2 linked regions of the Struthio camelus genome follow. The protein of the gene in region 2 interacts with the protein of the main gene of each other region in a pairwise test. Links are inferred from orthologs where the notes say so. Each region holds a gene or a part of one and is shown on either strand. Other genes may lie near its edges.

Region 1 (8,142 bases), on a different chromosome or scaffold from region 2:
GGGAAGGGGTAAGGTAAATGAAACTCCATTTGTAGAAGCACTGCCAAATACACAGAGTAAATACCTTACAAAGTACAACTTAACTTTTTATTTCTAGAGATCTCAAAAACAGTTGAACTGTAGACAAATAAAACCAAAACAGAGTAATGTTTAAATTCTGACTTCTTAAATTAGGTTTCTCACAAATACTGTGTAAAAATACCTCATGTCAAGGTAGTCTTAGAGGGATCCAATTGTAAAACTGAAACAATTCAAGCAAATGTACAGGCATATGTCCCAGGCCTACCTGAAGATTACGTTTGCTTTTCCTTATGTTGTGTTGCAGCAAGAAGTTGTTTTCTATCAAAAATCGACTAAACTGATCATCAAGCTGTGACAGCAGGTCATGGAATAGCACTGTAGCAAAAGATACGTTGTTGGCTGCATGTTCCCTGGAATAATTTAAGGCATGCTTATGTTAAATACACTTTCAGCAGGTACTCAAGAAACACAAAGTGGTGTACTACATGTTTTTCTCCCTGACTCCAGTTGTAGTTTGCAAGCAGTAAGAATTACTTGTAAAGGTAACCCACTTTCATTCCCTTCTAATCTCATTTTCTGTGATAAAGAAATGCTGTCTTTTCCTCTATAGTATTCTCACCACATACCGTCTTAACTTCATTTACCCGTTCCATGAACATCAGGAAGCCTAAAGTGAACTTGATGCATGTGCATGTTGTACCACAGTCCTATAAGAAGACGCTCCATAAACATCTTGGTAAATGTTTAAAGCCAGCAACTAGCGAGAGACTAAGACACCAAGGTAACAGGTCTTTCTTAAAATGGCTGCTTCCATGACAGACCAACCAAAGGAAAAATAGGATAATATACTTAGTCTAAACATCAGGCCCCTCTCGAAAGCCCTGAAGAGGGACGGGAACATGGACTAGCAGAGATATAGCTACTGAACGTCCTTGCCAGCATAGGTCTACCTAGCAGCTTGCTTCCCCAGAACTTTTTTGCTGCCTGTGACTCCGCATGAGAGCACTGCTTGTCATGTAACCTGAAGGCCAGTTTCTATGCACATCACCACTGTCCTTCAGGCTTACCAGTCTTGGTTTTCCAGCCACTGAGCTAGGTACTGTCTAATTTCCATAGGAAAGCTGTCATCATACAGCTGGTGAACTTGCTCCAAAAACTTGGAATCAAGTTGCTGCAGCTGATACCACTGAGTCATCCTAGGGAAAAAAAATAAATCAATGTAAATAATTAATATTTGGACTTAGCTAGTGAAAAGTCACTCATTTAAAGTTCTCATTAAAAATGGTAAAATTGGATGAGCAGGAAGGAAAAGTGTTTTCAGTAAAAACATAGGTTTTTAGATGTAACAAGAGAAAGCTACTCATCAAACTGAATACAATTTTTCCATGCCCATTTTAATTTAAAAAAAATACAGCAAATTAAGACAGTCACCATACTATTTCATGACAAGTAAGTCAAAGTTCAATCACGTTTTATGGAAACTTGCATTTCTTTTTTCCTTTGAATCCATGTTCACAGCACTTAGGGTACTAGTAGTGTTATTCTCTATTCTTTCTTTCTTCCTTACCCCCTGTTAAGGGGGTATATCCCTAAATATGTATGAGCAGCTATGTGCCCTGTACCTGTACTCGGTAGGATCAAGATCCCATTTTCATCTGTGCAGATATTGTCCCTGCCAATCCCCAGAGGTGGAAGAAGTAACTGGAAAAGTAAAGAAACTTCTAGGGGCTCACTTTCAGGTACTACATGTGTCTCTACCTACCTGCTCTGAAAATGGCCTAGACCTCAGGTTGCTTTAAATGGAGACGTATTTGAAAGATATTCTCTTTGTATTATGCTTTAGTAGTTATGATCAGATTTTCAGGCTAAATTCAAGTCTCTGCAGTAGACATGGGTTATCTAGAATTAACTAGTATGACTGAGAGAAGCCATGCTGCGCAGTTAAGAGTTGTTATAGAGTGGCTGTTAGCTCTGATGTATGGACTCTTGCTGGAAAGCAGTTATCTCCTCCTTTCTGGTCTGCAGGTTAGTGTCTTGCAGTAGTGGCAGGTAAAGATATGTCCAGGGAATAGCTGTCAGGCTCAGGTGGAGACATGTAACCCCGCTTGCATCTGCAACCTCTTCAAAAAGGTGATAAGACTTATCCAAAGGACAATGTACACTCGGGGGTGAAGCAGTACCTTGTGTATGGGCTGTTGCCAAATCCATTAGTGTTTGTATGCCAGATCCCTCAACTGTAGAGTTGCATATAGCCTATGCGAGAGCAAGTGTAAGGTAAAAAATGCTATGATGTTTAAAGTAAGGGCTTTGGGGCTTTTTGGTGTGGGCAAGATTCCAACTCTAGAAAACACAGCAGTTAGTTTGAATATACTGTAGTTAATTTGAATATACTGTAGTGGCACCAAGGCCAACAATTAAAGCATGATACTGGTGAGGAAAGCTGGAAGGGGGTATCCAAATGCACAAAGTTTTTTTTCTTTCTTTCTTTTTAAAAGCACTGCTTAAATACTGCTATAAGGTACTCTAATCCTCCTGTGTCTTAAAGCAACCACATTGGACAGGGGCTTGGGAAGCCTGGCGGAGAACCCTCTGAATTGGGGGTTACAGAGCAACGTGATCACGTAGCAGGCGTGATCCTTGGAGAGGCGAGCAGGGAAACGCTCACGCGGGGAGGAAGTCGGTACCGCTCGGGGAGAAACGGTTAGCGAGACCCGTGGCAGGGCAGGGCAGGGGGGCTCAGGCCGGCCCTGGCAAACTGGCAGGGAGGAAAGGCTGCTTTGCTGCTTCACCTCCCCCGGGGCGGTCAGGGTGACCCAAGGGCAGCCGGCGTGCCTCTCTGCGGGCAGCAGGGCCCTGTCTCCCCGGCAGCCCCCGCCGCTGTGTGCGGCTTCGTGTCCCGCCGGCAGCCGCCCGCTCCCGCTGCGAGGCGACAGGGCTTCGCCCCCTCCTCGCCGGGCGCCGCGCTCGCCTTGTCACAACTCATGTTTAGTATCGTTTCTGGCTCTCCGGCTGACGGCCAGCGAAGCAGGCGCTCGCAGATGGGGGGCCGAGCGCAGGGCAGCCGTCCCGGCTGGCTGGGAGCCTGCACCCCCCTCCATCCCCCCCCCCCACCGCGGGCCGGGGGGCAGCGGCGGCAGTAGCCCCCTTCTCGCGCGACCCCCCTCCCCCGCGGCCGTTGGCCCGCACGCGCACACTTACTCGAAGACGAGGCTGCGCTCCAGCTCTGCACCGCGACGGCCACCCGTACCGAGAAATACTCGCAAAGCCGCAGCCCCACGGCCCGCCCGAGAGCCAATGGGAGCCTCGCTTTCGCCGCCCCGGCCAATGGGCTCGCGGTGCCGCCGCGCTCGCCCCGCCCCGCCCCCTGCCCTTGCCCTCTCGCTCTCGCAGCGGGGAGGCAGGGCGGTCCCGGGGCGGCTCCCCCGCCACCCCGGCCTGGGCCGGGCCGGGCGCTGCCGCCCTGACGGCTGTCGTCCGGGTGCCTGGCCAGCCGACTACCTGTGCAGAACTATGCCCAATCTGCGGGCCAAACACCAAATGCGCCGAGGTTTCGACCGCTTGCTGTGTGATGGAGCAGCAATGACGTTGCCAATAGTAGATGAAGCAGAAATACCGCGCGCAACGTCATTCTAGGGCACAGGCCTGCATTTTTCTTGATTTCTAGCTTTTGCAAAGAATATTAGCACAAAAAAAAAAGTTTAGAAGCGTAGCTGGATATATGTGAGAGAATATGCCAGCTAGGAGCAAGGAACGAAAAGGTGCGCGATGCCTACGGAAACCCGCATGAGTAAATATAACACGGGGAAGAGAAGCAAATGATACTGCAGGAAAGGTGGCCAACAGGAAGGAAGGTTAGGTGTCGGGAGTAACAGGCTGTAGGAAAAGACAGCCCCTGTCCTAGGAGGAAAGAGTGTAAAACTGACCCCGACCCAAGTTCCGACACGGAACGCGTGTGCATCCGCCTCCTTGGGGGGGGGGGGGGAGAGGGCGGCCGTTACCAACGGCCCCCGGCCGGGCGCGCGCCAGAGCGCAGGCGCGGCTCCCCGCGGCGGGGGGGGGCAGCGAGGCCCGGGAACAGCCGCGTCACGTGATTTCGGGGAACGGGCCGGCTGAGGGGAAGGCGAAAGCGAAAGGAGCGGCGGCGGCGGCGGGCGGCCGGCCGAGCCGGCGGAAGGGCAACGGTCTCGTCCGTCTCTTCGTGGAAGAAACGAACGTAACTGGCACAGGTCTGGTAGAAAGGCAGTCAGTTTATGAACTGCAGCCCAGTTTCCTATCTAAGTTGCAGTGACTTTTAAGAATGAGAGCTGCAAACAAAAGAGTGTTTATAATCTTTCCGGATATGTTGCCGGTTGGGATTCCCCGCTCTCCCCCCCTCCCCCCCCCCCAATGAATTGTTTTGGCAGTTTTCCTTTCCTCGTGCCCCTCTCTGTGCGAGCCGTTTTGTCTGTTAGGACTGCACTGCTCCCCCCGGTCGTGCCGGGTCTCGTTTGTTTCTGACCGGTTACAACCGCAGCTCAGGCTGTGGCGCCGGTCTCCAGCGGCGCAGACCTTTTTCTGGCTTAGTTTGGATCCCTTTCTCCTCAAAATGGAGGAAATGATATGAAGTCTTAAATCGTACCAAGTACTGTGTACAGATTTTTAATGCTATAGTTGATGGTAACTAGCAGTTTTCGTTTAACTTGAATCATGGTGATGTGGTCAAACACAAAGCACTTAGTGATTTTTTTTTCCTGTTGTTTTTGACTTTGCAGCTGCAAAACATGGTGAAAGCACTTGAAAGCACATGTTTCATCTTTTCTGTCAGTATCCAAGAATGTAATTTTCAACATTTTCTCATTCTATTTTATTAGAGCCCTAATCTTACTCATACTGACTTAAGGACAAAAGTCTTCCTTTTTATGGAAGAAGGCTTTGGCTTAAGATGTTTATCTTATAGAAGATGACTTCTGTGTTTCTTAAAAGCAGTGAACTGAATTGAAATTGCATGCATTCCAATGAAATGTTAAAGCTGCCTTTTGCAAAATTTTTAAAAGGACAACGAAAATAGTAATGCCAAAACCTGATCCTCAGTCCTATCCAGTAACATAAAAAGTGCTGAGTTCAAGTCAAGCCAGATAATTGCACTGCATGGGGGGCAAGGAGGAAGGAGAGAAGAGAAGATTGGTTCACATGTGACATTTGGACCACTAGACTTTTTCACAGTACTTTTCACACTATTCCAGTGATCAAAAGTATAGCACATTTCCCATTTTTTTTGGATTAAAATTGCGAGAACAGATTAGAATGAAAAATCATACAGTAGTTGATGCTAGGTGAAGTTATGTTTGCTACTTTAGAAGTCCACGTTACTGCTTGTAGTTTAGATTTAAGATCCGCAAGGAGAAAGCAAGCCTCTGTTTTCAATGCACCTTGAAAAATTCCACAAAAGACCAGGTAACTTTAAGCCGATATTTGTTTTTATTCATATCAGTCATATAAATTACAGAGGTTACCAAACTATATATACAGTTGCCATTCAATGAGCCTGTATACTTGAAAGACAGAGACCACAGAATTGCCAGTTTATTATTCTATAAACAGGCTTTTTTAGGGATAATATTGAAAAAAGAAAGTTAAACTGTGACTGCAAGAAAGAAGAATGTTTTTAAAAGGCAATTTACCATTTATTTAAAAACTAGTTACTCTGTTTATTAAAGGAGCCTCCCCCTGGCATGTGACACTCCATCATCTATTGCAGGTTGCCCCGTGGTCAGCAAATGACGCAGTTCTTCAGTAATTATTTTTTCAAACTGTGCTTCCTAGTCTGCATCTTACCAGATAGCATCCAAATACTGCGCCAGATCAGGATTTTCTTTGTAGGCTTCCTGATAGTGCTTACAATAGTATCTGAGTGCTTCACACCAATCGATTTACCTCTGCAACTATCCTGTGAGAGGGGGAGGTTTTACTAATCCTGTCTTCCAGGTGTAAAATGGAGACAGAGCGCTTTTTTGACTCCAAGTTTTGTGTCCGTTCACTTTCTAGAACTCCCTTCTCTTCCCAGCCTTGCCTTCCTCCCTTCCATGGCTTTTGCTGTGGTGGGATAAAAACCTCTGGCCCTCTGTGCTGAAGGTGGTTCATCTCTAGAAAAAACAAACCCCAGATACCTTTGGGACAATCAAACTCAGAGGGATGAGAATCTTCTCTTTAAAATAGAAGTCAAACCAACAGTATAATAGAAGCTGTTTGGCAGAAGAAATCCTAATCCACCCAAACCTTAATCTCTTTAGTTATCCCCATAGGCTGCTTTCAGGTGGTTCTCAGAAGCAAAACATTTTCTTATAATGTCATATTTACAGCAATCCTACAGCCGTTTATTTTACAAGTCAAATTTGTGCCTACTGGACCCCACAGAAGTCAAAGGACCTAGAAGCCAGAAAGGATTTGGCCTTCTATCAGCGAAGATGGCAATTCTGAATTCCAGGAAGCTATTTATAATCCCACTGACTCTACAGAGAAGATTCTTGGTTTACTTGTATTTGAAAGCAGAACAAGGCCCAAGAATAGCATCACAATCATTTTCAGGAAATGGTAATTTACAAAGATGATAAATATTGACTTCATTTAACCCATGCAGTGTCCACATGATTCTTTGTTTTTCCAGTACCTGAACTTCAGTCAGTTGAATAAGGAGAACTCAGCTAGAAGAAAAGAATAAAAATATCAGCCTCAAGACAGTTGCTGCTGCTCATTCAAAAGTTACTGCAAATCAAGCCCTCTCTGGCTCAAAGTAATTGCAGTCTCATTTGCACACTCTAATAAAAACTTGTAAGGCTCTGAAGATACCCCTTCTAATCCCTCACAAAACCTAGTAATATTCATTAGAAAAGACTTATTGGGAACAGTTGCAATAAAAGTACATGAACTTCTGTGGTTCTTGTAGCCCATGGATATGTAGAGCAAGGTTTTTCCTGAGTCCCATTTCCCAGATGGGTAGGAGAATCTAGAGGAGGGGAATGGAAAGGGAATCCAACAAGACTGCAGAAAGTATATCTTGCTAGGATCAAGTCACTGAGTTGTAAGATATTTTTTCCTGCCACAGCTTTCACTCTTGTTCTCTGCCTCTCAGACAGTGATCTCTTTCACTGACATCTCATGGAGAAAAAGTGAAGAGACACTGTCGCTTTAATAATGCAAACTGGCTGCTTACTGAACTTAGCCGGCTACTCACTAGCAGAGGTCATCATGTGTGAATTTGAGATGAATAAAGTAAAAAACTCCAAATTTCCCTCATTTTCATTCAGCAGAGTAATGGAAAAAAAAAAAAGTAGAAAATTGTCTTGAAATCTTCAAAGACTATTTTCTCCCCTAATTATTAGAAGAAAACGTATCTAGCAAGAGCCTCCAGAAATCCACCTACCATCTGGCAGCACTGAACTACTTCTCTAGTACCCTTAAATTGCAACATGATTACATTCGATTCTCCCAACTCAGCAGCAAACACTTTCTTTTTGTGACCCCAAGAGATGGTGCTGATCACAGCTGGTGGTTTGGAAGCTCCTCACAGAGCTGGTTTGAGAATTCCTGTGCATGCGAAAGGAAACTGAAAATGCTTGGTACCTGATGATAAACAAAAGTGAAGCCAACTATTCTTTTCACTGCCAAAACTTAAAGAAATGCAAACATACATATAGTTCACAAATGCAGTTTCTAAAGTCGGAACTGTTTTCATAGATATAAAACAAATGACAAACGGGTGAAGACATGTCTCAGATTGTGTGGTACGCAATCAGCTCTTCAGTTTGTTCTATAATAAAGAATTTCTCTACTTATACTTAAAGTTTCATTGTGCAGCCAAATAATTTTTGCTATTTATACCTCCTGCACTGATTAGACAATTGTTAGTCAGGATTCTGGTGTATCGTTTGTTTTATTGGGAGTGAGGAGAAATGTTTACACAGAAGTATTTGAAGGTGATTTGACAGGCTTTTAAATACATAACCAGTTTAAGATCATAAATCATAGAATATATTAAAAACTAAAAGTTAAAATGTAGTATTAAAAAAAAAAAATCAATATTTTCTTTTAAAGCTGCTAAGGCCAAACTACTGCTGTGTTTCCTGATATAATTCTGCTGGACAG
Region 2 (7,878 bases):
CCCAAGGGATTTTGGGGGTCCTGGAGGGGGGGGGTGTGGGGAGGGGTCCCTGAGAGGTTTTGGGGATCCCTAAGGAAGGTTTGGGGGGTCCTGGGCAGGGCTTGGGGGGGTCCTAGCAGGTCTGGGAGATTCCCAAGGGATTTTAGAAGTCCCGGGGGGGGTTAGGGGGTGACTGAGAAGTTTTGGGGGGTCCCCAGGGGGGTTGGGGGTCCTGGGGGGGGTTAGGGGGTGACTGAGAAGTTTTGGGGGGTCCCCAGGGGGGTTGGGGGTCCCGGGGGGGGGGGCAGGTACCAGAGCCCCTGGCGCTGCAGGAAGCGGACGTGGTCGCGGAAGAGGACGAGGCGCATCTCGGCCTTCACCTTCTCGCCCTCCTCGATGGGGTCCACCAGCAGGAAGTCACCTGCGGGGGGGGGGGGGCAAGAGGGGACACGTTGGGGACACGCCGGGGCCGCGAGGGGAGGCGTTGGGGGGACACGTCGGGACCACGCTGGGGTGGCGTGACCAGGACAGCATCCCTTGGGGACGCGCCGCGGTGACAAAGCCAGGAGGTGACACACTGGGGACGCGTCGGGGACGTATCGGGGGGGGGCACGGCAGGAGCAGATACGTTGGGGACGCGTTGGAGACAGAGGAGCGCAAGGTGACCCGCGGCGGGTGACGGAGCCAGGAGGGGACACCTTGGGGACACGCCGGGGCCACCCGGGGCGGGAGGTGACACGGCGGGGACGCAGCGGCGGAGGCGCGCGGGCGCGAAGGGCCGCGTTGAGCTGCGCGGGCGCGAAGGGACCGGGCCGGGGAGCGCGTAGGGGGCCGGGTGGCTGCGAGGGGACGCGTTGGGGACGCGTCGGGGACGCGTTGGGGACCTCTCTTGATCCAGATGTGGCGGCGGAACTTGGGCGGCATGCTGACGAGGAAGCGGGCGCCCTCGGCCGTCTCCACCTCGTGCAGGTTGTTCCCCGGCGTCCCCAGCACCTGGGGAGGGGGGGGGGGACACGTCGGGGACCGCAGCGTCCCCCAGACCCCCTCCGTGTCCCCTGGGTGGCCCCTTGTCCCTCCTGTGCCCCCTCCTCCATGTCCCTGGGTGTCCCCAGGTGGTCTTTCCCCACCACCACCAAATGTCCCTGTGTCCCCATGTCCCCCCTGGGTGTCCCCGTCCCTCCTGGGTCCCTGGGTTCCCCCCCCCAGGTGTCCCTGTCCCCATGTCTCTCCGTGCCCCCCATGTCCCCCCCGGGTCCCCCCTGACTCTCCTGGGTCCCTGTGTCCCCCCCCCAGGTGTCCCTGGGGTGCCCCCCCCATGTTCCCTCTGGGTCCCCCTGACTCTCCTGGGTCCCTGTGTCCCCCCCCAAGGTGTCCTTGTCCCCATGTCTCTCTGTGCCCCCCCCGGGTCCCCCTGACTCTCCTGGGTCCCTGTGTCCCCCCCCCCAGGTGTCCCTGTCCCCATGTCTCTCCGTGCCCCCCATGTCCCCCCCGGGTCCCCCCTGACTCTCCTGGGTCCCTGTGTCCCCCCCCCCCAGGTGTCCCTGGGGTGCCCCCCCCATGTTCCCTCTGGGTCCCCCTGACTCTCCTGGGTCCCTGTGTCCCCCCCCCAAGGTGTCCTTGTCCCCATGTCTCTCCGTGCCCCCCATGCCCCCCCCGGGTCCCCCTGACTCTCCTGGGTCCCTGTGTCCCCCCCCCCCCCAAGGTGTCCCTGTCCCCATGTCTCTCTGTGCCCCCCCATGTCCCCCCTGGGTCCCCCCTGACTCTCCTGGGTCCCTGTGTCCCCCCCCCCAAGGTGTCCCTGTCCCCATGTCTCTCCGTGCCCCCCATGTCCCCCCTGGGTCCCCCCTGACTCTCCTGGGTCCCTGTGTCCCCCCCCCCAGGTGTCCCTGGGGTGCCCCCCCACGTCCCCCCTGGGTCCCCCTGACTCTCCTGGGTCCCTGTGTCCCCCCGCCCAAGGTGTCCCTGTCCCCATGTCTCTCTGTGCCCCCCCATGTCCCCCCTGGGTCCCCCTGACTCTCCTGGGTCCCTGTGTCCCCCCCCCAGGTGTCCCTGGGGTGCCCCCCCACGTCCCCCCTGGGTCCCCCTGACTCTCCTGGGTCCCTGTGTCCCCCCGCCCAAGGTGTCCCTGTCCCCATGTCTCTCTGTGCCCCCCCATGTCCCCCCTGGGTCCCCCTGACTCTCCTGGGTCCCTGTGTCCCCCCCCCAACCCCCACCCACGGTGTCCCTGCCCCCAGGTGCCCCCCCCCAAGTGTCCCCATGTCCTTTTTGTTGCTCTACCACATCCCTGGGTCCTCTTGTGTCCCCAAGTCCCCTAATATCCCCGGGTCCCCTCGTGTCCCCCCCCCCAGGTGCCCCCATTCCCCCCCCCAGGTCCCCTCATGTCCCCTCTCAAGACCCCCCCCCGTCTCCCCATCTCCCGTGTGTCCCCGCTGCGTGTCCCCACCCCCCCGTGTCCCTGTGTCCCCTTGTGTTCTCCTGCGTGTCCCCCATGCCGTGTCCCCCCATGTCCCCCCGGGTCCCCCCACCGTGTCCCTGTGTCCTGCCATGTCCCCTTGTGTGCTCCTCTGTGTCCCCAACACCCCCAGGTCCCCCTGGCCCCCCCCGGGTGTCCCCACCCCAGGTCCCCCCAGGTGTCCCCATCCTCCCCGTGTCCCCATGTCCCTGGGTCCCCTCGTGTCCCCCCCCCCCGGGTCCCCCCATGTCCTCACCCCGTGTCCTGCCGTGGCCCCAGGTCCCCCCGTGTCCCCTCCCGTGTCCCTTCGTGTCCTCATCCTCCCATATCCTGCCGTGTCCCCCCCCGTCCCGCCTTGTCCGTCCCCATGTCCTCACCCCCCCCCATGTCCCGCCCTGTCCCCCCAGGTCCCCTGGTGTCCTCACCCCCCGGGTCCCCCCGTCCCCCCCCGTGTCCCCCTATGTCCCACCGTGTCCCCCCCAGGTCCCCTCGTGTCCCTCCGGTGTCCCCACCCCCCCGGGTCCCCTGGTGTCCCCCCATGTCCTCACCCCCCCCCCGTGTCCCCCCATGTCCTCACCCCCCCCGTGTCCCCCCGGGTCCCCCCGGGTCCCCCTATGTCCCACCGTGTCCCCCCCCGTGTCCTCATCCCCCTGTGTCCCCCCAGGTCCCCCTATGTCGCCCTGGGTCCCCCCGTGTCCTCACCCCCCGGGTCCCCCTATGTCCCCCCGGGTCCCCGTGTCCCCCCCCGTGTCCTCACCCCCCCGGGTCTCCCTATGTCCCCCCGGGTCCCCCCGGGTCCCCGTGTCCCCCCCCGTGTCCTCACCCCCCGGGTCCCCCTATGTCCCCCCGGGTCCCCCCGGATCCCCGTGTCCCTCCCCGTGTCCCCACCCCCCCGGGTCCCCCCGGGTCCCCCCCCCCCCCGCTCACCCGCACGATGCGCTGTCGCGGCGACGGCACCACCCGCTCGTCCAGCACCTCCCGCGCCACGTGCTTCCGCTTGGTGGCCTGCGACATGCCGGACGCCTGGGCCCGCCGGGACGCCTGGGTCCCTCCTCTGTCCCCCTCCCCCGCCCCAGTAGCGGCGGGGGGGCCCAGGCGTCCGGGCTGCCCCCCTCCCGCCGCGCCCCGCCGCTTCCCACCTCTCACCGCATGGGAGTCCGCCACTTCCGGGTGCACCGCCCTCTGGCGTCACTTCCGGAGACACCGGCTCCTCCCCCCCGGTCCTCCTCTCTATGGTGGTTTCTGACAGGCCGCTGCGTCTCGCCGCGGGAACCTCCCGCGGGCTAGAGCGGCGCCGCGCACCACAGAGTCGCGGCGCCGTCGCCCTAGAGCGCCCGCGGCGACCGCGTTGCTAGGCAGCCGCCGCCTCTCTATGGTCGCTTCCGGGCGCGCCTAGAGCGGTCGCCGGCGGCGGGTGCACTTCCGGCGTGGCCGGAAGTGACGGCAGCGCGCAGGCGCGCGCAGCGGCCAGTTGGGCGGGAGCGGCGGTTGACAGCGGCGGGCGGCGCCGGTGAGGGCGGGGGGGGGTCCGGAGGCTCCCTGGGGGGGGTCTTTAGGGCTTGGGAGGTGCGTGTGGGGAGCTGGGGAGGGCTCTGGGGCTGTAGGGGGCTCTGGAGGGTCCTTGGAGGGGTCTATGGGGCTGAGGGAGCTTAGGGGGTCTTTGGGGGGGGTCTATGGGGTTGAGGGGGCTCTGGGGGTCCTTAGGGGGGGTCTATGGGGCTGTAGGGGGCTCTGGGGGGTCCTTAGGGGGGTCTAATGGGGCTGAGGGAGCTCTGAGGGGTCCTTGGGGGGATCTATGGGGCTGAGAGAGCTCTGGGAGGTCCTTGGGGTGGTCTATGGGGGTTGAGGGGGCTCTGGGGTGTTCTTAGGGGGTCTATGGGGCTTTGGGGGGTTCTGGGGGGTGCTTAGGGAGGGTCTATGGGGCTGGAGGAGGCTCTGGAGGGTCCTTAGGGGGATCTATGGGGCTGGAGGGGGACCTGGGGGGTGCTTAGGGGGTTCTATGGGGTTGAGGGGGCTCTGGGGGTGCTTAGGGGGGTCTATGGGGCTGGAGGGGGCTCTGGAGGGTCCTTAGGGGGATCTATGGGGCTGGAGGGGGACCTGGGGGGTGCTTAGGGGGTTCTATGGGGCTGAGGGGGCTCTGGGGGTGCTTAGGGGGGTCTATGGGGCTGGAGGGGGCTCTGGAGGGTCCTTAGGGGGATCTATGGGGCTGGAGGGGGACCTGGGGGGTGCTTAGGGGGGTTCTATGGGGTTGAGGGGGCTCTGGGGGATTCTTGGGGGGGTCTATGGGGTTGAGGGGGCTCTGGGGGTGCTTAGGGGGGTTCTATGGGGTTGAGGGGGCTCTGGGGGTGCTTAGGGGGGTCTATGGGGCTGGAGGGGGCTCTGGAGGGTCCTTAGGGGGGTCTATGGGGCTTTGGGGGGCTCTGGGGGGTGCCTAGGGAGGTCTGGGGGGCTGTAGGGGGCTCTGGAGGGTCCTTGGGGGGGTGTGGGGCTATAGGGGGCTCTGGAGGGTCCTTGAGGGGGTCTATGGGGCTGAGGAATCTCTGAGTGGTCTTTTGGGGGGGGTCAATGGGGCTAGAGGAGGCTCTGGGCGGTGCTTAGGGGGGTCTGTGGGGCTGAGGGGGCTCTGGGGTGTCTTTAGGGGGTCAATGGGGCTGGAAGGGGCTCTGGGGGGTCCTTAGGGGGATCTATGGGGTTGAGGGGGCTCTGGGGGGTTCTTGGGGGGGTCTATGAGGCTGGAGGGGGTTCTCGGGGGTCTTTGGGGGGGTCTGTGGGGGTCTATGGTGATTGCGGAAGCCTATGGGGCTGTGGGGGACTTCTTGGGGGCGGTCTGTGGGGCTGGAGGGGTTGTAGGGCAGTTTTTGGGGTGTCTATGGGTCCGGGGGGGCTCTGGGGGTCTTTGGGGGGTCTCTGGGGCTTGAGGGGGCTCTTGGGGGGGTCCCATGGGTTTCGGGGGGCTCCCAGGGAGTCTCGGGGGGGGCTGTTTGTGCCCCCCCCCCGGGGCCCCTGCTGCAGCTGCGCTGGGGTATTTATAGCCGGGGGAGGGGCGGGATCGCCTGGGCCCCTGCTGGGGGGGGGGAGGGTCAGGATCGCCTGGGCCCCTGCACGGGGTGGGGGGGGGGGAGAGGGGACAACGCTGCCTCCTCCAGCCCCGGGGGCACCTTTGTCCCCCCCCCCGGGGCTGCCGCTGTCCCCACATTGTCCCCCCCCCCCCCCCCGAGCTGCCCGGTCCCTGTCACCATCCGCGTCCCCGCGTCACCCCCCCCCCCCCGCGGTCTGTCCCCGTCGCTCCTGGGGGCCGTCCCATCCCCCCCCCCCCGTCCCCAACGCGGTGGCACCGTCTGTGTCCCCCCCCCCGCCGGCAGGGCGAGCCGAGATGTCCTCGACGTCGCAGAAGCACCGGGACTTCGTGGCGGAGCCCATGGGCGAGAAGCCGGTGGGGACGCTGGCCGGCATCGGGGACGTGCTGGGCAAGAAGCTGGAGGAGAAGGGCTTCGACAAGGTGGGGACACCCTGGGGACACCGCGGGGACACCCTGGGGACACCACGGGGACCGTGGGGGGTGGCTGTGGGGTTGGGGACACCGCTGGGGACGCTGGCCGGCATCGGGGACGTGCTGGGCAAGAAGCTGGAGGAGAAGGGCTTCGACAAGGTGGGGACACCGCGGGGACACCCTGGGGACACCACGGGGACCGTGGGGGGCGGCTGTGGGGTTGGGGACACCGCTGGGGACGCTGGCCGGCATCGGGGACGTGCTGGGCAAGAAGCTGGAGGAGAAGGGCTTCGACAAGGTGGGGACACCGCGGGGACACCCTGGGGACACCACGGGGACCGTGGGGGGTGGCTGTGGGGTTGGGGACACCGCTGGGGACGCTGGCCGGCATCGGGGACGTGCTGGGCAAGAAGCTGGAGGAGAAGGGCTTCGACAAGGTGGGGACACCGCGGGGACGCCCTGGGGACACCGCGGGGACACCCTGGGGACACCACGGGGACCGTGGGGGGCGGCTGTGGGGTTGGGGACACCGCTGGGGACGCTGGCCGGCATCGGGGACGTGCTGGGCAAGAAGCTGGAGGAGAAGGGCTTCGACAAGGTGGGGACACCGCGGGGACACCCTGGGGACACCACGGGGACCGTGGGGGGTGGCTGTGGGGTTGGGGACACCGCTGGGGACGCTGGCCGGCATCGGGGACGTGCTGGGCAAGAAGCTGGAGGAGAAGGGCTTCGACAAGGTGGGGACACCCTGGGGACACCGCGGGGACACCCTGGGGACACCACGGGGACCGTGGGGGGCGGCTGTGGGGTTGGGGACACCGCTGGGGACGCTGGCCGGCATCGGGGACGTGCTGGGCAAGAAGTTGGAGGAGAAGGACTTCAACAAGGTGGGGACACCGCGGGGCCACCCTGGGGACACCACGGGGACGCCCTTGGGGCCACTGTGGGGACGCAGAGGTGGGGACACCGCAGGGCCACCCTGGGGTCACCCTCGGGGCCACTGCGAGGACATCGGGGACATTGCAGAGACGTGGGGGGGGGTGAGGTTGGGGACACCAGTGGGGGACGTTGGCTGCTATTGGGGACGCGCGAGGCGCGGAGGGGTGTCCTGAGCGTCAGAGGGTCCCCAGGGTGTCCCTGGGGGCTGTCAGGGTGTCCCCAAGATGTCTTTGGGGTGTCAGGGTGTCCCTGGGGGGGGCGTCGGGGTGTTCCCAGGGGGTGTCGGGGTGTCCCTAGCGTGTCAGGGTGTCCCCAGGGGGTGTTGAGGTGTCCCTAGCATGTCAGGGTGTCCCCAGGCGGTGTCCCCAGGGGGTGTCGGGGTGTCCCTAGCGTGTTGGGGTGTCCCCAGGGGGTGTCAAAGTGTTCCTAGCGTGCCGGGGTGTCCCCAGGGTGTCCCCAGGGGGTGTCGAAGTGTCCCTAGCATGCCGGGGTGTCCCCAGGGGGTGTCGGGGTGTCCCCAGGGGGTGTTTAAGTGTCCCTAGCATGCCGGGGTGTCCCCAGGGGGTGTCGGGGTGTCCCCAGGGGTGTCAGGGTGTCCCCAGGGTGTCCCCAGGGGGTGTCAGGGTGTCCCCAGGGGGTGTCAAGGTGTCCCTAGCATGCCGGGGTGTCCCCAGGGGGTGTCGGGGTGTCCCCAGGGGGTGTCAAAGTGTCCCTAGCATGTCGGGGTGTCCCCAGGAGGTGTCGGGGTGTCCCCAGGGGGTGTCGGGGTGTCCCCAAGGGGTGTCAAGGTGTCCCTAGCACGCCGGGGTGTCCCCAGGGGGTGTCCCCAGGGTGTCCCCAAGAGGCAGGGTGCCCCCCGCCCGTGACGCCTGTCCCCCCCCCGCCAGGCCTACGTGGTGCTGGGCCAGTTCCTGGTGCTCAAGAAGGACGAGGAGCTTTTCCGCGAGTGGCTCAAGGACACGTGCGGCGCCAACGCCAAGCAGTCGCGCGACTGCTCGGGCTGCCTGCGCGAGTGGTG

The links. The genes of interacting proteins can lie anywhere in the genome.
Region 1: the proteins of EIF1AD (region 2) and STAT1 interact in binary tests that used the Homo sapiens proteins (3 or more experiments, as listed by UniProt). The two-hybrid records come from large-scale screens. The link is inferred for Struthio camelus from reciprocal best matches to the Homo sapiens genes EIF1AD and STAT1.

Annotation. Positions count from the first base shown.
Region 1 is NC_090947.1:14,434,604-14,442,745, reverse strand, and holds the start of STAT1 (signal transducer and activator of transcription 1-alpha/beta), read right to left. Parts: upstream 3,402-8,142; 5' UTR 3,220-3,401; intron 2,275-3,219; exon of another isoform or gene 2,202-2,274; intron 1,218-2,201; 5' UTR 1,217-1,217; coding exon 1,089-1,216; intron 432-1,088; coding exon 287-431; intron 1-286. Other genes in the region: STAT4 (signal transducer and activator of transcription 4), read right to left, coding at 6,675-6,701. UniProt on the Homo sapiens protein: Signal transducer and transcription activator that mediates cellular responses to interferons (IFNs), cytokine KITLG/SCF and other cytokines and other growth factors.
Region 2 is NC_090976.1:755,083-762,960, forward strand, and holds the start of EIF1AD (probable RNA-binding protein EIF1AD), read right to left. Parts: upstream 3,718-7,878; 5' UTR 3,578-3,717; exon of another isoform or gene 3,571-3,577; intron 3,565-3,570; exon of another isoform or gene 3,455-3,564; 5' UTR 3,446-3,454; coding exon 3,359-3,445; intron 973-3,358; coding exon 864-972; intron 401-863; coding exon 292-400; intron 1-291. Other genes in the region: BANF1 (barrier-to-autointegration factor), read left to right, coding at 5,805-5,930, 7,748-7,878.